4 linked regions of the Daphnia pulex genome follow. The protein of the gene in region 4 interacts with the protein of the main gene of each other region in a pairwise test. Links are inferred from orthologs where the notes say so. Each region holds a gene or a part of one and is shown on either strand. Other genes may lie near its edges.

Region 1 (5,680 bases), on a different chromosome or scaffold from region 4:
AAGCTTTCCCAAAAGCGTTTTTTGGAGGATATTTGGGACGAAACTGTGGGGTAAATTGGGACTAAAAGGGAGTCTGTAATGAGCGGAGCTTAGCTCAGTGGCAACCCTGAGAAAATAATAAATTTTAAACAATTTATTTTTTAAATTTAGCAATAACCTAAAAACATAGCGAAAAACAAATACTAGGTGGCAAATATTATAATAGAATGATATTTTTAAATTAATTTATAACAATATTTTAGTGCTAAATTTAGAGTGTTTCACCCTGTTCCATAAAAACCCCGAATTTCCACGCCCACTTTTTTTTCGCAACTTTTAAAATCGGTAGCGGGTAAACTAACAACTCTAAAATAAAATAAAAAATACTGGAGATAGAAAAAAGTGAGACAAGTACAATAAAACCTGTATTTTACAAATCAGATGATTAGAAAAGGCCCTACACGAGAAAAACCAAAATTGGTCCAAATAACCCCCACCCTCCCCTACATGGCACTTTAAAAAAATACCCCGATAATTGTGTTGAACCATTCCATACCATAATCTATGTACTGTAATGCGCGTATTCGGGCTGTACTGAAACGCATGTACCAGTAGCCCTTATGTCTGCGGGAGTCCCTATCTTTCTCTCTGATAGCCATTCTCTCCGTTCCATCTTATAGCACTAGAACCCTACACTTTCCCCTTCTATAGATCAGCTCTCGTCTCCCTTATTTCCCTAAATGTAACGGGGCGCTATACAAACCGAGCTCCGTGCTACTATAGCATCTCGTCCCCATCACTAAAGTCGTCCCAATATTGCTGCCAACCTGTCGTCCCCAGCAATCCTTATATGCGGCCCGGCCTAGCTTTCGGGAATTCTTCTCGGAAGGCTAGGCCGACTTGGAATATATAAACCCGCAGTTTCCTTGTCAGACTGTGTATTTGGTGTGTACCAAAGTGACGTGTAGAACTGCTCGATCCCCCTCTTGGTAAGCGTGTACCCGTTAATAACTCTGTTATTAAATACAAACTAGTTCGGTCTAAGTGTCCTTTGTAAGTGTCCGTATGTATGAAAATAAAAATAAAAAAATAATTAAAATGTCATTTAAATACCTGATATAATTTCATTTTTTCAATCCAAATATGTAAGTTTTAAATTAATAACGTCGTCCTGTTACTTAATTATCTAGTTAACGTTTCGGCTAAAAACTTAAATTTAAAAAAAAAATGTCGTTTGGAAGTATCCAGCGTGTAGCGTGTCGCGTTTATCTAAACGTTACATTTCAGAAAAAAGCGAAAGCATTAATGGCTTTACGTGACCATCTTGTGAAGCAAACCTTTCCTCGCCAATTGACGTGGAATGGTGTGGGAATCTTGTAAGAGGGACAATATTAATCACTGAATGTGATCATTCTAAACCACTTAGCACCTTATTATCAACTACAAATATTCTGAAAATATTTGTATTATCATCTGTTAAAATTTTAATGCTTTCATTTTTCTTTAGTAGTTTCCTTTCGGTAATTCTGAATTCTTCCCTTTCTCACAAATGCGTTGCATATTAAACACCTACCAGAACAAAGAATAGCGATTTTTCTAAAAATTAATTAATCCATTTATATTTCTTCCTCTTTCTTATTTCTGTCTCATTTTTTGCTGTTTATTTCATCCGATTTGATTTTTTTTCCATTTTTCTACTTTATACTGTAATATTGAATTAAAAAACAAAAAGCCAGCACACACTATATAATTGTTCTAGCATCTTGTTTTCCGATGTCCCTTTTTTTTGTCAATATAGGTTCGATATAAAATATTTATAACGGGAAGTTGTCAACTCGAAAAATATTCGTACACCCCCCATATTTTTAGTTAAAAAAAAAAAAAAAAAATGCGGAAAATTTAAAAATAAAAATGGGAAAAATATTTAAGAAAAAACGAAAATTCAATTCAAAAATTTAGCTTTTTGGGTTTTTTCAAGATTTTCCACAAAATTTTCCAAGAATTTTTGGAATTTGTAAAAGAAAAACTAAGTGTTGTCCCAATTGATTTGTTTATTATCAATCTTGTTGGCAATCGAGTGCTGACCAGCAACATTAATGAAAAAATAAGGATTACTTCTTAAACCCTACCGCGGACAACTAAAAAACATTTTAAACCCCTATATTTTAGTCCAAAAATAAAAAATAAAAAAAATTATTTAAAATACATTTATTTTTTATTTTTTATTCGTACACCCAAATAACAAGTCGATAACCCGATTTATAATTATTTTGTTTTTCTTCCTTTTTTATTCGTTTGAATTCCATGAAGAAGCTGAAGACAGTTTTTGATCGATGTGATTCTTTAAGGGAATAACGCTACTGTAGATAAGGCTGTATATCAGAGTAGAAATAAGTTTTCAGGTAGTCAACCGTAGTCAACAGCCAAGCCTCAACAGTGGGCTAATTTTGAAGCTGAAAAAAATCTTGAATGAAAACGCAGAGTTGTATTTTTGCATAAAAATTCTTTCGCTGCACGGTTCAAGTTACAAAATTGGAAAAAGTCGGATGTATAGATTGTAGTCAGGACAACCAACATCTGACTGAACATAGACTTAAAGCTGGCAGCCTTGCAAAACATAGTAACAGAAAGAGTGCCCCATGTTAGGAATTCTAGCAAAATAATCCAGCTACGGTTGTGTTTTACATAATATTAAATGATGCGGTTGTCAGTCATATCAGATTTGTTTCGTCTATATTGCCGAAGCAAATATAAAATTCCTTCGATTTTATTTATGAGACGCATACTGCACTTGCCCGACCTTTGTTAATATGGTGATATAAATAGGCTATACAGTGTAGAGTAGAGAAACGCAATCAATGTTTCCCTTTAAGCATAGCGTCTATTAATGGAAACAACGGTATCCAAATGATGGAAAGATTTTAACTATGGTGAGGTTTATACACTGAATTCTTGGGTTCTTAATACACGAAATTCTCTCTATGCCTAGCTAATCTAACTCATTTAAAAGTGACAAGAGTAAAGGCTGTATGTACGAATAGAAAAGGAAAAATGAGCGTGATTGTTTTTCCTGTTGAAACCTTGCTATCTGGTTCTCTCTTTTTTTATTTCTTGTCTGCGTGCGTGCTCGATCTTTTTTCGGGACCTTGTAGTTTTCGTACCGTACCTCTGAATCTGTTCGCAAGCCAAAAAAAGGATACGAGTATTTCAGAGACAGTCCTAAAATTAGCAGTTGCACTGGAAGGTGGAGGCGAGAAGAACCGAGGACATAACCACGCGTTTAAACGCACACACATGGGACAGGCGGGAAGTCTACCAAAAAGTCACCCAGAAACGAATGACTGAATCTAGATATAACCTATGATTAAAGCAATACTTTTTGTCCCTGGAACAGATTAAGGAACTCAATGATTCAATAGTTTATTTGCACTCTTCAGGTCACAACTTTGTTTTGTTTTCATTAGGCATTGTTTTGCACTTTTTTCAAGAATGCAGTTGAACTGTTATCTACGGGTTACTTATTAAACCATAAGTATCATTTATGAAACACTATGGACGTTATTGATTTTTCATTTTCCTTGTGTTTGTCGTGTTGTTGTCAGAAGGAGAGGAGAAATATATGGTAAATTTCTGATTGCAGACATAATTTAATTGACTTATCACACATATCACTTTGTATTATACAGCTATAGTGTTAAAAAATTTTATAGTTTCCTAACTAAGCTATGAGTAGGTTAACATCTTCATTTGATCATTTAAACAGGAACGCAAATTTAAAATGATTAAGTGAAACCTTTTACCTTTCACTCGCCCGTCGACATATTAGGCCTGCTAACATCTTTGTTATTGGATTTTCCGACGTTGGAACTTTGGCACCTTGGGCGCTTCCGCCCATACCGCCACTTTGCCACATGATGATGAGAATGACCTGTAGATTGATCTGTTTAATATTTCAACACGTCTTTGCGCCTTTTAATAAGGCGAAAGGTTGATCGAAGTCCATAACACTCACGCCTATTCGGCATTGAAAACTAACCGCACAATGAAACACCACACCATTGTAGACCATTGAATCGAAGAAAAAGATTTAAACAAATCAATGGTGACGAAATTAAGGTAACAAATTTGATTCGTGAAAAATCGGTATGTCATGAAGCAATTTGAAAAAAAAAATCTAACAATAGAAAGTCCACAAGTCTATTGCTAACGCACCGGGTAGGAAATGAAAACACTTCTCCCGTCTACAGCTGCCAACAACCGACTAACGAAACCCTTTTCGTTTCTTCTTGTTCAACGATTTTCAAATCTCTTTAATCAGCTGCACGAGTTGGAATGGCTCTAAGGTATGGCGGAGTCTATATAGAGCTAGATACTAGATAAGAAAAAAACAAAGAAGTATGTTTTATTTCTATTTTTTTGTAAGTCATTTGGTGGTATTTTTTCGATTGGAGGAAATAAACATCGATATCGATAAATCTATATTCTATAGCAACTTTTGCAACAACGATAACGAAATTTTTTCTCCAACTTATCGAAAAAATCTGACTTTTAATAAAAATCCCGCAATTGTTTTTTTTTTCTCTGGTGGACGATCCCGACCCCACCCCGCCCCCACCCTCACCCCCTAGCGAGCTATTCATAAACGCCATCTTCATAAGAAACTGTAGCTTTTTCTCCTAGTTCTAGAGGCATCTTCTGCGCCATCCAAACAGAAATTTTCGATTGTTAGATGCGTAGGTAGGAACTGGGAAGAATCGTATTAACAAAGGAAATTATATTTCTACAAGTTATCCTTAACTGATATAAGGGCATTGCACGATGTATACTCAAAGTCTAAGGAAGTGAAAAAAATAAAACAATAAAATAACGGTACAGTGGTTCTGACAGCAGTCCCTGACTCCCTGGCTAATCATCCAGGGGTAGTGAGTAGTTCTACATAAAAACTGAGCAAATTCAAAATTGAATACAATAAATAAACTTTTTAATGAATTCTTAGTAGTAAATTAGGTAATCGAATTTGTATGAGGAAATCAGCAGACAGTTATTACAATTTAGAGTAGCCCCCGGAAGGAGAATTCCTGCAGACTACAGGGCAATGACGATGCCAATGGTGAGAATCTGTGACCTGTGCATATTTTTGGCATTCACTTCTTTTTGCTTCCTCTCTTGTATCGTATCAACTATCAAGCTGTAAAATAGAAAAAAAAAACAGTGATATGCACGACTTGGCTGCACCGAGAGTTGGATAGGTTTGTCAATGTCAAAGGACGTTTGGTTTTCGGAATATATGCAACCCATGATGCAACCTAGATAGTTGTCTGTTGCCTCCTAAGCAGACTCTGCTCCATTTATATTGTAGAAATAGAAAAAAAAATCACCGTTAGGGGGTTTAATGTGTTGAATCAGAATGCAGCTCAAATTTTTGAATATTCCCACCAAACTGCTATCAAGTTTTAGGCTACATCATAATTCTATCTATCAAATAAGGCATGCATGAACATCACAGATTCATTCTGAATTTACGATATGTCGGTTAACTAATTCCAATTATAGGTTTTACTCAATTTAATTGTGAAAATAATTTTTTTCTTAATTTGATAAAGTACAAGCAACATTTAATATTTACATATATGTGGTGGAATGCTTGAAAGACTGCATGTCATCATTTAATGCAAAGTGATTGTCTGGTGTTCTTACCATT
Region 2 (5,220 bases), on a different chromosome or scaffold from region 4:
GATCATCGTCCGGCGCTAAGGAGATGGGCGGCCATCAGATGTGGAATAACGTCGGCCATCCGCAGCAGCAGCAGATGCAGTCGCCCGTCGCCCAGCCACCGCTGCCACCGCCGCACCATCACCGCAACAACGTCATTGTGGACGACCGCGAGGAGAACCAATCGCTGCGCTCCGATCACTCCAATTCCATGGCCGGCGGCCTGTCGTCTTCCAATCGGGCCCACTCCAGATCCTCACGCCACCAGCACCAGCACAGCAACCGGCCGCTGGCCTCGACCCAGTCCGGCAAGAGCACCAGTTCCGGCCACCACCGATCGCACAGGTCCGTTTCTTTTATAACTAAAATCTGACTCAAATAAAAACAAGACGGGCCAGGTGTTCTGGCGTGGCCCGTCTTGAGCCTTAAAAGGATTGAACGAAAAAGACGGACCAGCCGTTGTTAAATTTGTTTTGTTCCTTGCCTTTCATGGAGCTGCAACGTTTATCCTATCCTTAATGCTGTTGATATCAAAGTAAATGAACCTGCAGTCCTGCAGTCGATGGCGTCATAATTTCAAATCTAAAAATGTTTTTTGTTTGTGGTTGTTGTTTGGCTTTGACAGGAGCGCAAGGGCGGGACAACACCGGGATCACCCGATTTCATCGTCGCCCATGCAAACGTCGGCCGTCCTCGGCGACCGCAGCAACAACCAGCACCAAGAAGTCATCGAAGTCCAGATCCTACCTCAGGTAAAAAAAAACTTTTTGTTGTTTTATTATTCAAATTTTGGAATATTTTCAATGAGATTCAAATATTCCCGCGCTATTTTTGTTTGTGGAATATAAACGGCGCCGTTGATCGATTCCCCCTGCATAGAAAAGTCTTTCGTGTAAACAGAAATATTTAGATATGTATAGAATCCGTCCAACCAAAAAGCCGCGCCGGACCTTGTAAATCGGCGTCCGTCCGCACACACAAAAGAAAAAGAAAAAATGGAAATGAATTTTTTTGATTCAAATGAATTTGATGTTGCGCAATTGATTGAATGGGCTGGTGATTCACACAACAGGATGACGGATGGGGCGACAACGCCACGGCTCTGACGGGCAACACGTCCGTGGCCTCCGGATCGATGGATGACGTGTCGAGGCTGGGCGGCGGAGACGGCGGACGCGGTGGCGGAGGCGACGGAGGGCCTAACGATCCGGCCTGGTCGTCCAACGCCATGGGCCAGTTTCAAAGCCAAGGCGGCCACCTTGGCTGGAATTTTAAATGCCAGCGCTACCTGGGCTCCATCACGGCCGCCGTCTTGGCCGTCCTGGCCGTCATGACGCCCGTGGCCATGGTCCTCCTGCCGCGGATGCAGATCGTTCCACTCCGCTCTGAGCAGCTGCGCTGCCCGGCCGAGTGCGAGGGACTGCTCATCACCCTGACCGTCAAGCTGGTCCTGCTGGTCCTGGGCAGCTGGGCCGTTTTCTGGCGGCCCACCAGGGCCACCATGCCGCGCATCTTCTTCCTCAGGACCCTGGTCCTCCTCCTGGTCTTCGTCACCACTTTCGCCTATTGCCTTTTCTACGGTGTTCGGGTGGTCGAGCAACAGGATCAGCTGGACTACAAGGTAAATTACATATCCATTTCAATTTCATTTGTTATTTATTTTTGGGTTCCAGGCCGGTCCAGGGCCGGCATGTCGTGCAACAGCGGGCGGTGTAATAGTTTTCTTGGTTGGTTGGTTGGTTTATTCTGTGGGTGGTGAGTGAGTTCAAATCACAGCTTGAACTTATCTTTTTTTTTCACTCGGACGGAATAAACAAATATGGCGGATGCATTCCGTGTCTGCCCGCCGTTTTATTTCATCTCTCGACGAATTTATTACAACATTTTTGTGTTTTTTTGTTTTATTTATTTTTGGTTTTATCCAGGCGATTGTGACGTTCGCTTTGTCGCTGGTCGACGCTCTTTTGTTTGTCCACTATGCTGCCGTTTTGCTCCTGGAGATCCGCCAAATGCCGCCCAGGTATTACCTACACGTCATCCGCAGTCCCGATGGCATTTCCAGGGGCTACCCGATCGGAGCCGTAAGCAAATTTTGTTGTTTTTCTTATTTTATTTCGATCGTTTAGATTTGTTTTTTTCTTCTTGGCCATCAGATATCGATCCAGCGGGCCGCCGTCTGGTTGCTGGACAAGTACTACACGGAATTTCCGATTTACAACCCGTTCCTGGAGCGGCTGCCGCCCAGGAGGAGCCGCTCAAAGTTGGCCCACTCGTCCTCGTTCAAATTCTACGACCTGGACGCCCAGAACAATCACGGCTCCCTCAATCCGGTAAGTCCACCCGACGAAATTTCATTTCAACTTTTTTTCTTATTTTAAACTAAAAATAATTAAAACTATACTTAAAATTAATTGAATTAAACTTAAAATTAAAATTTGAATTTTTTTTGTTGGGTGGCGGGAAATGTTCCAGGGTAATGCCCGTGGCGTTTTGTCGACGACCAGCTCATCGACGACGGCTCGTCGCAACAATTCCAGCCACAACGAGAGATTTTACGAAGAGCACGAATACGAACGACGTTTGAAAAAGAGGCGCGCCCGTTTGGTCACGTCCGCCGAAGAGGCTTTCACCCACATCCGACGACTTCAAGCGGAACCAGGTACATGTCAACAATTATACACAACCAAATGTCTTTTTTCCCTCCTTATCCTTGCGGCAATATTCAACACCAATAAATATTAAAATTCTTTTATTTAAAAAATGTTTTTTTGGGGGTGGAATAAAAGGACCGGCCGTTCCGATGGATCCTTACGAAGCGGCCCAGGCGATTTTCCCGTCGATGGCCCGCCCGTTGCAAAAGTACCTGAGGATCACGCGCCAGCAGCCGCGCCACACGGTCGAGTCCATCCTCCAGCACCTGGCCATCTGCCTCAGTCACGACCTCTCCGCCCGCGCCTTTGTCGAAAAGTTCCTGGCTGCCTCGCCCGTCATGCAGGTATAACTCGTCCGCATTTCTTTTTTTATTTTATTTTATTTAAAAAAAAAAAGCGGACCCCATTTTTCATTCGGAATTCCCGACGTCCGTGAAGGGCCACTTTGGTTCATCGTAAATTTCCCCTCAATCTCTTTTCAAATTTCCCGCTTTAAAAATTTTCCAACAAAATTCCAACATTTGATTGGCAGTCAATTTATTTATGGCCAATAGCTTTTCGAATTTGGCGCGGAAAAATGTCCACAAAATATTTGATCGACTTTGAATTTCCCGCTGAAAATAAAAATTTAAAATGTTTGAATTTAATTTTTGGCGGTTTAAATAGAACGACAAGGAAAAGTGTCCGATTCAGACGTGGTCGCTGGTGTGCGACGTCCTCCTGTCGCGTGGCATCGAGGACGGGACCGTGTTCCAGCTGAGGCAGGGCGACGTCTCGCTCCTTTGCCGCATCTCCAACTTGCCGCACTTCAACATCACCGAGGAGATCATCGAACCCAAATCCAACAAGTTTGTCCTGCGGCTCAGTTCCGAAACTTCCGTCTGATGAAATATTCAAGTGATGGACGGACGGACTCGACGGAATAAATTTTTGTAAAAAAATAATTCAGTTCATTTGACCAATTAAATTTGTTTTGTTTTTTTCGTTTTCTTTTCAAAAAAATTTATTTTCCCGCGCTGGATAATAATTTTTGAAACAAGAAACTAGTCGTCTTGCGTAAAATTCGTGTCCTTTTCTTGCGTGCAACCCCCCCAATTTTTTTATTTCCGGTTTGATCGTTGATAATATTCAGAAAAAAAATACTCGCAAACATATCGAAAGATAAGAAGAATTAATGGCCTCCGGACTCGATAATAATTAATAAAATTGTTTCGTCCATTTTTGGCTAATAATTATAGACGCGCTGATTAATAATATGATTGGCTCAACAATATGTTTTTTGGGGTTTTTTTTTTCCTGTGTGTGTGTACATAATCATGTTATAGTCGAGGGCAAATAATGATAATAATAATAATAATAATAATAAAAATAAGGGAACCTCATTCTTCGCACCCGTAACAATTTCATTTCCCGACACCCACGCAAAAATTGGCCATTGTTCACGCGGGCTCTGATTTATTTTGTTTGATTTAAAAAAAGAAATTCTTTTTTTGTTTTGTTTTTGGTCTAATAACAATCGCTGATGTCGACTTTCTCCCTTTGTTATTTGGTTATTTCTCTCGCCTATTCTTTTCTCGACGATGTGTTGTATACGTGTGTAATAATTGACACCCCCATTTCTGTTGGCAACAACGAAGTTATTAGACACAAGTACACACAACACACGGTGGAATGTAGGTGCCATGCGTCATCATCCCCCTCCATTTGAAAAATAAAATACAAAAAAAAATGATTATTAAAAAAGTACATTGTGTTGTGTATACAAAACAAAACTCTTTTAATAAAATGTTCGTGTGGTGTGTTGCCATTTTTTGAAAAAAATCTACAATTTTAAAAAATTTAAAATTTTCTCTTTTTTTATAATTTTCACGCGGGAGTTTTTCACGTTGAGTAATTGGCAGACATTTATTTATTTGTTTTGGCTGAAACTCGTTCATTCATGTCCTGCGGGACCCGTGTGGCGATGATGTAAACCATTTAACAAATCATCACCGCCCATCATCAACATTTTTTTAACCTTTTGATGAGAAAAATGTTTTCCATCAAAATTTTGTTTATTTAAAAAAAAAAAGAATTAAAAAAATAAATGACCGTGATTTAAGCGCGCCACAAAGTTTTGAAAAAGAATTATTACGTCATCGCTTCTCTTTTCATTTGGGTTCGAGGACGTTCACTTCCTTCATTTCTGCACCCACTCACTTAACAAAAAAGACGTGAAAGGGCCGGCTGCCAGGGGCTGTCGTCGTCTTCTTCTTTCTGCCCCAGCGACCGTCCCGCGTGATTTTTTTTTGGCCATGTGTGGTCATTGTATAGCTTGTAAGACGACCCTGACGTTTGGAATCTTTTTATTGCACTACAAGGAAAGTCACTCCGCCGTGTCGGTACAGCCACTGAAGAGGAAAAAAAAAATTAAAATCAAAATCAAATGAAATAGAAAAATAAATTTTTTTTCTTTTCCTAAAAAGCTCCGGATGCTCGGCAGCAGCCCAAAAAAGAAGAATGTTTTGCTGGATATATATATGATGATGATGGGATGTGTGTGTGTATATCTCGAATGCTCAACGTCAGTTTGCATATTTCATCATGTCTGTC
Region 3 (5,220 bases), on a different chromosome or scaffold from region 4:
TTTGGGATTTCGATAGCTAGTTTAGGGTTGAGTAGGTTAGGGAACAATAGATTGAGTGGGAAGAGTGGGTAAAATTGGGGCCCTCTGTTGAGGTCCCTACAAATTACACATAATTAACAATAGTAAAGTGTCGATCACTGTTGGGAGTCATTATATTCCCAACACACCGACCACCATAAATAGGAAGTCAGCGTTTGGCGCCAATCGCTAGAGAGAATTGCTGCTTCTGTTTGTCACGCAAATCACAATATTCGTTCGGAAAACAAAATGTTTCATGATTAGTAGACGCTGAAAACCTCATGCAAGATGATTTGTTATAGATAAGAATTACCTGAACCCCTTTTTATAAAATTATATCAGTTGATCTTAATTTCGTTTTTCGATATAATTCAATTCAGTGAAGAAGACCTTGAGCGGTTGAGCTTGAGCCTCTAGCCCACGCTGCTGATCTCTTGGCTTAGCCACTTTAGTTTTATCAGCCATTCGAATCAGTAAATCGGTAGACTATTAGATCCCTCCCAAACTCTTGTGATGTTAATTTTAGAAAGTGTTATGCATTTATGTCTAACTTCATCGGTACTTGGCTAAAACGTCAAAGTCTTAATTTTTAAAAAATGTTTCTCACAGTTTATTATGTTGCTAAATGTATCAATAATTTCTTTTTACAGGCACTGTAGGGTTTTCGATAAATCCCAACACACAATCGACAGAAAATATAATAATAGAAGTCAAATGCAGTTCTAAAGGCACAAACAACTCGTGACAATTGAAGGTAATTATAGCTTTTTAAAGAAAAGGTGATGACTGGTATACTTGCAGGATTCGTTACAGATATAGATGTAATGCATTTTCTCAACTTTTTCTCTTCTCTCACTAAGAAAACTAGAGAGATGTTTCAATGGGTGTCGAACTGCCACTAGATGGAGTGGACGACCCACGTCGTGAACCGTTTTGAAAAGACAAATGTCTACGGACACTAGCTCCATTGCTGGACACTGAAGAAATGGTGACTGCATCGTCGTCAGCAGCTGCCAGTTCTTCCTCGCTCCTCCCCTCTGCGATGGTGGAAGACAGGACGTCCGTTCGTGGACTGTAGTGCGGATGGAATCGATTGTTGCGTTGCTGCTGCTGCTGACTGAGCCGACTGGCGATGTAACTGACTCGAGCACTGCGACGAATCAAATTCTCCAGTGCTGGATGTTTGGTCACTGGACTGACGTCTGGCGACGCGGGCCCCTTGCCGATTCCGGCCGGCGGAGGTTGAGTCGCTTTGAGCTGCTCAACGGCCGAGATCTTTTTATTGGACGCCGGATGATGGAGTTGCTGGAGCAATTTGCGTTTGAAATCGGAAATGGTCGTCCGTTTGACCAGTCCGATTGAATGGATTTTGGGCTGCTGTGGTGAAGGTGACGCCCCCGCATCACCTGGATGAAGCGGCCAAGTGCCGGGGCGAGTGTCGACGGATTCGTTCAAACTTGACGTGGAAAAGGAGCCATCCAGGGAACAGGAGGAATACGAAGGTGTTGGCGACGATTTGCCTTGTTGCTGGACACGTCCGGCGCCACTGGGAGTAGCAGAGTTGAAAGAGTTTGATCTTTTGGGTGAAAATTCCAGGAATCCACCTTCTTCCGGACTATCTCTTCCGGTTCTGGCTGCGTTGGCCGCCGCTAATTTCGACGGTAACGGAAGCGTGCTGCTGTTTCTTTTGTCATCTCCCGCACTGGGCAGCCACTGGTTGTAGTTTGGTTCTACGGAAGACGGAGAACCGCCGCCGCCGGTCATGGATGCGTAATAATCGGCCACCGTTTTGAATCGAGCCGGAAGCGAATTGTATCGGAAATCTTTGCGTTGAAATTCGGTCGATGTGGACGACAACTGGGCTAGTGGCAAGGCCGACATTCTCGGCGGAGGCGATAAAGATTGATAGCCCGGAAGTGGTGATGAGCTGCTGGATGAAACTCCGTTCAATCTCGAACTAGTAGTTCCTGTTCCATCTAGTGGTAAGTTTGGTTTAAAATCATTGAACACATTTTTCTTTCTTTTAAAAATCAAACGAAAAAAGATACGAGGAAACCAGGCCGGATATCCTGACCAATGAGAATCGATTTCTTTGTTTTAAAAATGTAAGGCCGTTTATTAGCCAATTGAAAAAATTCGATTTAAAAAAAATAATAATAAAATTTCGTTCAAAAAAAAATTAAACATGGGAAGAAGATTCCGGCCTGGTTCGAGTTGGTTTTTTCATGGACTTTTTTTGTTTTTCATCCATTAAAAAAAAATTAATTTAGAATATAATAGATCTCATCGATGAATTGATTAATCATAAAATTAATGAATTATCGATTGTTTTCATTCATTCAGAAAATTAGAAAAAGCAGACCAAAAGAATTAATCATTTTCTAATGGAATTAAAAGCCCAGAGAAATCCAACTCTAAAGAAAACAAACGAAGCACGCACACACACACACAAAACAAAATACAAAAAGTGCAAATAAAATAAAAAGGAGAAAGCCAGGCCGTGAAAAATAGTGTGAGAGAAATTTCAAGCAAATACTTAAATAATAATAGTAAAAAAAGCGACAAAAACAATTTCGTTTGTTTCATGCGACGTGAGATTTTTCCAGTCATGCGGGGGTGGTGATAAAAAAAAGGTAATTAAAAAACAAAAACATACGAGAAAAACAAATTTTTAACTTTTTCTTTTTTATGGCATTCGTAGGAAGAAGAAAATTAAAAAAACATTCACGCAATCAAAAGGGATTAAAGAAAAAGGTGAGGTAATACTGTGGGAAATTAAATCAAGCAAGCTAAAAAAAAGGTGATATTTAATTTCAAATCATTTTCTTTTTAGCGCCAAATGAGTATTTTTAAAAAAATTTCAGATCACCAAATGTCAGTGTTGTTGTTTCTGCGGTTACCTGGAGTGTTGTTGAAGAAGCTGGGCCGATCCTGGGCGTTGGTGGGTGGACGGACGACGGGACTGGGTGGAACACTTCCGAATCCGCTGGCAAATGCGGATTTCTTGTGATGAGTTGGTTGTTGGCTGGTCATGGAAATGTCCAATCCGCTTCCGCCGCTCGAGTTGAGACTGCTGACGCTTCCGCTTTTGTTGTTGTTGTTGTTTTGGTGAGTCGGAGACGTCAGGATTTTCGGATTGACCAACAGCCGAGGACCGCCGTAAATCCGCCTTCCGGCCGCATTTGGATTGTGAATTCCTCCTCCGCCGTTGTTGGGTTTCACCAGGAGCGGACTGGACGTCATCATCATCATGGCCGGACTAGAGATTTGCCGGTGGTTGAATTGCTTACTAGGACGTCCATTGGCTGCTGCTGCAGCCGGGCCGGAAGCTTGCCCAGCAGCGTTGAAACCCGGATTGGAAATTTGTTTGACCAGCATCGGACTTTTGATGGAGTAATTCATCGCTGGCTGGGAAGGTCTGGACGACCATCCGTTGCTGTTGGGTCTGTCCGTCAAGTGGCCCGAAATGAACTGGCCCGTTCCGGCGGTGGCCGTCACGGATCGGTGAGTTGTCCCTCCTCCGTTGACTGCGAATCCGCTTAACGTGTGACTAAGTGGAGCGAGTCTTCCGTTGTGACTGCCAGCCGCTTGCGGCGGCGCCACCGAGAGCGTCTGATTGGCTTTGCGGTAACTGTCGGATCGATTCCGCTGGAAGGCACCGGCCGGATCGCCTCCGCTGTCCACTTGGTCGTCGACGTTGGCCAGTCGGTAGCTGTCGGACCGGGACACTAGAATCGCCGGAATTCCCGATCCATTTCCATTGGTTGAACTTTGACCGTCCGGCTGAGTCCTGACGGCCGGAATCGTCGAAGAGGATGAAGAAGAAGAAGAAGTTCGAGGGCCGTTGAAACTTGGGGCCGGCCTGTAAGGCGGTGGACTGAGCGGTTTGTTCGCGTTGCCAGCAGCTGATCCAGTCGAGCCGATCGGATTGGGACGGAAGGCCGACGTCCCTGGATCCAATTTCCTTTCCACATTTTGCTGGCCGGTGCCCGGCTCGACGAACGTGGAAGTGTGTCCGGCTTGAGCTTTCCGTCTCTTTAGAGAATCCGAACTGTAGACAACTTTTCCGTCGGAATCCAGCGTCACTCTGGCGCCACGTTTCTTCCTTTCCAACGAGCTGGATCGTGAACTTTCACTGCTTCCGGCGGAGGAGAACGGCTGGGCGTTCAGATTGTCCGAATCGGCGGCCGGCAGTTGGTTGAGAGCCACAAGTTCCTGATCGACCGGACACTTGACGACGGACGCCTTGATAACGATGGCCGTCGACTCGGTGGATGCCGGAATGGCCGCCGGAAGATCGGCCACGTTTACTCGAGTCCGGCTCACCGGACTGGGACGAACTTCCGTTGCGGCGACTTGCTGGAGGAACGCGGATTGGATGTGCGATTCGAGACTTATTCCGGAATTCCGGCCGGAAGGATCGTTGAGCATGGCATCGTCGTCGCTTGGCAGTGGAGTGATGGAAGGAGTGATGACGCACATGGCCGGAATCCTTCCGATTTGAGTTAAATTGGCCCTCATGCATTCCGATTCCGGCGATCCAGCGGTTTCGCTTCCGGGAGATTCGTTGCTCCTCAGCTGTTTGAGAGCGTCGGCGATCTCCTTGGATTCCGTTTCCGTCACCAATTGGCTCAGCGATTTCTTCTCTTCCGGAATTTGCTTCCGCAATTTTCCGGAATCCACCGAATTCCGGTTGCTGGAGCTTCCATTTCGTGGCGGTGGCTCGGGCGGTTGGCTGTTCCTCTTCTTCCGACTCCCCACTGTGTTGTTGTTGCTGTTACCGACTCCTTCCGGCCGGAAGATGACCGTCCCTGCCGAACTGGTGGTGGCGCTGGACAAAGTGCTGCCCTTGCCGAACAATTCGTATTCATTTTCAGGTGTAGCTGCCGGGAATGGTTGGCCGGAAGCCAATCCGCCCGAAATGCTGCCGGAAGCCGAGCTCATTCCGGATGAGCGATCACTGCCGCCGCTCGCCTCCTTGGAATTGACCGACGTCCGGTTCTTGTGTAAACTTCCATCACTCTGGCCCTCCTGTTGGTTTGACCATTTTGAGATAAGTTTATTGATTTTATTTTTAAATGAAATTAAAGAAAGTTAATTGATTTCGACCTTGAGAGTTTTGAGGCCGCTGTCGATGTGGAAGGAGGTGTAATAGCCCTCGGCGTCGCAACTGTAGACGGAACTGGTTTCCAGGTCCAGCTC
Region 4 (5,220 bases):
CCTTTCCAAATCACTAACGCAACACTATGACGCAATTTTTTATTTAAAAAAAAAGTTAAATTTGCAAGGCTTAAAATTAAAAACTGCCACCAACGGAAAAATTGGAAGCCGACCAGTTGAGACTAGAAACTTTTTTTGGGAGCTGCCAACACACGAAACATCCACCAAGCAAACTGTGTGTGTGTTATCTAATTGCATGGGGTGGCCCTTTTCCGGTCTGGACACCTGTACTGCCGTGTGCTGCTCTCTTATGGAAGTTTTTTTATTTTTTTTTCCTTTTTCAATAGATACCGAAAAACTACACAACAGACACACACCGTGGGCGAGTTTTTCTTTTTTTCTTTTTCTTTTTTGGCGGGGGGGAGACTAGAAAATATAAAAGAATGGGTGTGGAACATGGAACTCGTCTGCTATTGGTAGGTGACGTCAACACAGCATTGCCAAATCTATCGCTAAATTCGTCTTGATGATGCGCGCAGACACAATTAAAAACAAAATAGAAAACAGCCAAGGTTCTTAATAAAAACGCAAGACTTAATTCGGGGGGATTGATTTCGTAGATTGATTGAAGATTTTACCTTCCGTCGTGTTTTCATCCTAGATGGCTGGTAATTTATATCGAGGTGTTATATTGAATTCAAAAACCGGCGTTTGGAAGCATCAAGAGTTTCGATGGAGAAACGGGGGGAAAAAATGGCGCGAGCGTCGGCTGCGAAAACTCGCCTGCAACTGATCACTTGCACCGGTGCACAGTAAAATAAGCTCCAGACACACACAGCTCACACGCCGACCAGCAGCAGCAGTGGCAAATATAAACCATCCGGCAGGAGCACACAGTACAACAACCCAAAAAGCTCGTCACAAATAAATAAAAAAAAGATCCCAACAAATTGGGAAACAAAAAATGAAAAAAAAGAAACACACACAACGTCACTAGCCGGATCTGAAAAAGCCAAACTCGACGCGTTCGGTATACACAACTGAATTTTCTCTCTCGCTATACTACTTTGACAGCCTTCCAACTACTGCTACTGTCATTGGCACACTCGAACCATTTTCCATAGAAACCAAAATAATCAAATATTATTATTATAACAAGTTGTGAACCCCCAACAAATAAGAAAAAATGATCCAATCGCCACTGCCTTCTCACTCGGACTGATGGCCACTAACAAGAATGGGGGGAAGAAATGTCTAAAGAAAAAGCCTAAAAACTTCCAATATGCTGCGGAGGAGGAGGAGGAAAAAAATGTCCAGGTTTTCCCCCTCGGGGCATTAAGGGTCTCACATGAATAGAAAGTAACTGGAGGATCGTTGGATTTTGAAAAAGAAGAAAACAGGTTTCCCTTTTCTCTTGGCTTATTCTTCGCCTTCCAGGTACATTCCAGTAAGCTCCTGACATCTCTTGGCAAAGCCAACAACGACAGTGTGAGATTTCTAAGACCACATAAAATCCTCCACCAGAAAAATTCCGTCCAGGCTTTTTTCAAGGGGTTATATTGACTGTACGTGAATTCAACGATGCGTGGACAATGGCGGCGATGTTTCCGCTCGGTTAACCAATTCGTTCGAATAACTCCTTATTTCCTCCCGACACCCACATCTTGTGCTTTTCATCCCCCTCCATTTTGACACGTTCAGACACTCTAAACACTTGAGAAATAATTGGATTCCAGCGTCGACGGAAGGATATTCTGTCGATCGAATCCCCCCTTCCCCTTGATGACCTGTTGATATTATGCGCTTAACTGCATTCCAAGTATTATTAAACGGTCCAACGAAATATAGACTTGGCGTATATATATTCCACCGGGACAACCCCCCTAATGACTTTCTGCTGGCAATGAAAAATGAGTATCAATAAATCCGGATCTGCCGTGCGGATAAAACTGCAGAATGTGTGTCTCGCATCATTATATAAGAAGATCTTAATAAAGATGGGGGGGGGGGGGTCTTCATTTATGGATAAACAGTATACTATATACGGTGAGGGGGTGGGAGATATTATCCCGAAGAGATAAGAAGAGCCGAGGGAAATCGAAAAGTCATTTGCCTCTTATTCTTTTTGCGTGTGTGCGCTCCCGTTACACATTCCCGGAGGTGTTCAATGAGCCGAAACGACGGTGGTGGATTCAGGCGTAACGACACCCAAGACGAGATCTGGGATTCCTCAAGGATATATCCAAAGTTTCCCATCCGGGTTAGAATCTAGTCTCTACACAGCCGGCGGCCATTTTGTCTTCCTATCCTATCCGTGTGGGTGGGTGGGTTATATAAATATAGTGGGTAATAGTAGCAGAGCGGGGGAAATAGGATCGGCTGATAAAAATACACACGACGTCGTTCGTGAGAAGGAAAAGGTCAATACGAGACGCAAATTGAAAGGTGTCAGAAATGGAATAGATACTACCTTGAGGTTATTGGACTGTTGCTGGATCACGATCCTCTCTGTCGCCGAAATGACCGACTCGTTGACGTGACCGTCCACCATGTCAACCGACACCATAGGATCGTTGTCCTGTCGTCCCCTAGTCCCGTGATGTCGTGGGCTCTGTCGTGAAAAATAAAAACATAAAATTTGATTAGTTTCCAATCGATACGTCAGAAAAGGTAAGTTACCAAACCCAAAGTTGCTCAAAACGATCCATCAATTTGTGTTTGTATCTTTCCCGCCCAAAAATAATCAAAATAGATCGTTTACCAAAAAAGCTTATAGTTTTGACACTCGAGTACGCACACACACTATTAAAAGATATGCGATCACACACAATCCTAAACGACCGTATTATAAGAAATGGCGTCATTTCCCCGCCCTCCCCCCCAATGTGATGTATGGAGAGTCAAAACACACACACACATACAATAAACACGATTCGGGCCGGCGGGCCGTCACATCGATCACTCTCACAGAGAGAGACATGCACACACAGTACAGTCAACACACTGGCAGTCTGAGCAGTCTAGAAGAGTCTGCTCTCGACTATAAATATATTGGCAGTGTGATCTTTTGTGTTTGAGAAAAAATTCTCAAAAGAAATTGTGAAATAGACCTGCTCACGCTGGTACCTCACCATGTTCTTTATCTATGCAATCTTAAGTAGATTTCTCTCTCTCGGAAATCGGTCAATAAATCGTTTTCTCTATACACACATATAGAATCAATCGCCCATCTTCTTTCTGCCAAAAGAAGAGAGAACGTCTTCTTCTTACTTTGAAACAGCTGGTGCTGCATTTGTGCTCGCATCGATCGGCCGGGTCTTCTGCCTCCAACGAGACAGGAGCTGCTGCTGCTGCTGCTGCTGCCGGATGTGCTAGGACTCGTTCGCGCTTTTGTCGATGGCGTCGTGATCGCGGCACGAAATACATGCAGTTGGAAAAGCGTCGATTCGATTGTCGGACGATGGAAACCCAATCGATCATCTTGCGTGTTGGATGGGTGGGTATGTCTTTCGAATTTCCTTTTTTTAATCAACGCACCGAGTCAACAACAACATCACGACAGCAGCCACGACGATGATAACGACTTGTGTCCGTCTACACGTAGACCAGGGGCCGACTGTTTGCTGGGCAACACACACACAAGACTGTCGGGGCGGGCGAAAAATATTTTATTTTTAAACGTCGCTTGACAGAAAGAAGAAAACAAAAAAAATCCCGCACGACTTTTTTTTTTGCGCCCGGTACGTGTGTCCGTTGGCCGGAGCTGGCCGCCAGCGTGACCGTGATTGTTTGCGACTGAAGCGAGACTAATTTTACTCAGGCGAGTCTCTCTCGCGGGTTTCTCTCTCTACTCACTCGCACACAGGGGTCGGCGGCTGATTGTCAAGTTTCCCGCGGCCGTCGTCATGGCGGCCAGCTCACAGCTCTCCGTGAGCGACTTTTTTTCTTCTTCTTTTTCCGCCCACTAGAACGGCCAAGAAAAATAAGAAGAAATAAAAAAAAAGGGGAAAAAAAAAAGTTCACGGAGGATCGTGACACGACACGCTCGACCGTATACACATCCCATTCCACAATGTATTTATATTTTCGGGGTTTTTTTTTGGCTTGCGTGTTGTGGGTAGAGACTTTTCTCCCAGTTCTCTCGGCGTCTGCTTACGTAAATGTGGATGTATATACACATTGGGAAACGCAAAAGGCATCAGATGGCGTCGCATCAAACATTTTGGCTCCGGTTTTTTTCTATTTTTCAAATACACAAGTGACTCATTTCCGTCCAATCTAACCAACACAACCGTAGGTAAAAGTGTGTGTGTTCAAAGATCGATCGGATACAGACTCACAAATCCTTTCTTGGGCAATCCAGGTGGGGCCAATTAGCCTATCCAGCACGAACTCTACAGCTAATCCCAATCGCCCAGCTTTTTGTAAATAAATCAAACGGTACGAACCATCTTCTTCGGGTCCATCTTTTATTCATCGGCCCGCCCACCCCAACGTCGGACTTGTCGAATATTTGATCAATGCGTCTAAAAAGTCGAAGAAATAGGAAAAAAGTCACTACTAGCGTGTACACTAGCAGCTACGTACGTATTTATAGTACTCGGTGCTCTATTGATTTTTTTTTTCTCAATGCCATCAAGTTAAATCGCGCAACGTTGCCTTTAGAAAAGAAGAACATCTTCTAGACTTTTGGGCGACTGTTGTTGCAACAACAACAACAACAAAAGAAAAAAAAGTTTGCCTACTTTTTTCTTCTTCTTCTTCTTTCCCTGTGGTAAAAACGTACAACTCGGGCGGAGCAGCAGCCCCCATCGGGAGTGACAGCTTCTCTCCGTGAAACATAGTCACTGTATATATATCTGGTACAAAAGAAGCGCGCGCCAGGGAACAGCCAACTGTTTCCGGGACCGCCCAGTTCCTCGGCGGATGCGAAAAAAAAATAGAAATCCGCATTTCTAAAAAAAAAAAAGGGTGGAGAAAGAATAGTAAAAAAAGAAGAGATAAGATGGTCTAAGAGATGCCATTTGGAGATGTAAGTAAGTAGCCGCTCGCCCCGGCGCTCGATCGATGGCCTCCTCCTCCGCCACGCAGCTCAAACACAAGAGCCGCGTGATTGTCACAAATGAGTGTATTATCACGCTGTTTGTTGAACCATTAAACCCAGAAGCTTGTTTGCCAGGGGTTTTTTTTTTATTTACTTGGCATGGCAACAACCTCACGGTTTGGGGGGGTAAAACCACAACAACAACAACAATACACTCTCGTCCGCCCATCCGCCCA

The links.
Region 1: the proteins of disks large 1 tumor suppressor protein-like (region 4) and potassium voltage-gated channel protein Shaker-like interact in binary tests that used the Drosophila melanogaster proteins (3 or more experiments, as listed by UniProt). The link is inferred for Daphnia pulex from reciprocal best matches to the Drosophila melanogaster genes dlg1 and Sh.
Region 2: the proteins of disks large 1 tumor suppressor protein-like (region 4) and vang-like protein 2 interact in a two-hybrid assay, tested with the Drosophila melanogaster proteins (3 studies listed by BioGRID). The link is inferred for Daphnia pulex from reciprocal best matches to the Drosophila melanogaster genes dlg1 and Vang.
Region 3: the proteins of disks large 1 tumor suppressor protein-like (region 4) and uncharacterized protein LOC124196913 interact in a two-hybrid assay, tested with the Drosophila melanogaster proteins (4 studies listed by BioGRID). The link is inferred for Daphnia pulex from reciprocal best matches to the Drosophila melanogaster genes dlg1 and gukh.

The regions. Positions count from the first base shown.
Region 1 is NC_060026.1:6,145,395-6,151,074, reverse strand, and holds the start of potassium voltage-gated channel protein Shaker-like, read right to left. Parts: upstream 4,521-5,680; 5' UTR 3,893-4,520; coding exon 3,780-3,892; intron 1-3,779.
Region 2 is NC_060018.1:12,093,881-12,099,100, forward strand, and holds the end of vang-like protein 2, read left to right. Parts: coding exon 1-322; intron 323-602; coding exon 603-729; intron 730-1,049; coding exon 1,050-1,598; intron 1,599-1,902; coding exon 1,903-2,058; intron 2,059-2,130; coding exon 2,131-2,307; intron 2,308-2,449; coding exon 2,450-2,636; intron 2,637-2,763; coding exon 2,764-2,972; intron 2,973-3,294; coding exon 3,295-3,513; 3' UTR 3,514-4,364; downstream 4,365-5,220.
Region 3 is NC_060023.1:632,724-637,943, forward strand, and holds the end of uncharacterized protein LOC124196913, read right to left. Parts: coding exon 5,128-5,220; intron 5,050-5,127; coding exon 2,919-5,049; intron 2,647-2,918; exon of another isoform or gene 2,362-2,646; intron 2,001-2,361; exon of another isoform or gene 1,995-2,000; coding exon 883-1,994; 3' UTR 611-882; downstream 1-610.
Region 4 is NC_060025.1:304,301-309,520, reverse strand, and holds part of disks large 1 tumor suppressor protein-like, read right to left. Parts: intron 4,523-5,220; exon of another isoform or gene 3,421-4,522; coding exon of another isoform or gene 3,211-3,420; intron 2,552-3,210; coding exon 2,411-2,551; intron 1,301-2,410; exon of another isoform or gene 597-1,300; coding exon of another isoform or gene 579-596; intron 411-578; exon of another isoform or gene 1-410. UniProt on the Drosophila melanogaster protein: During embryonic development, some isoforms are essential for proper neuronal differentiation and organization. Required for cell polarity; maintenance of apicobasal polarity.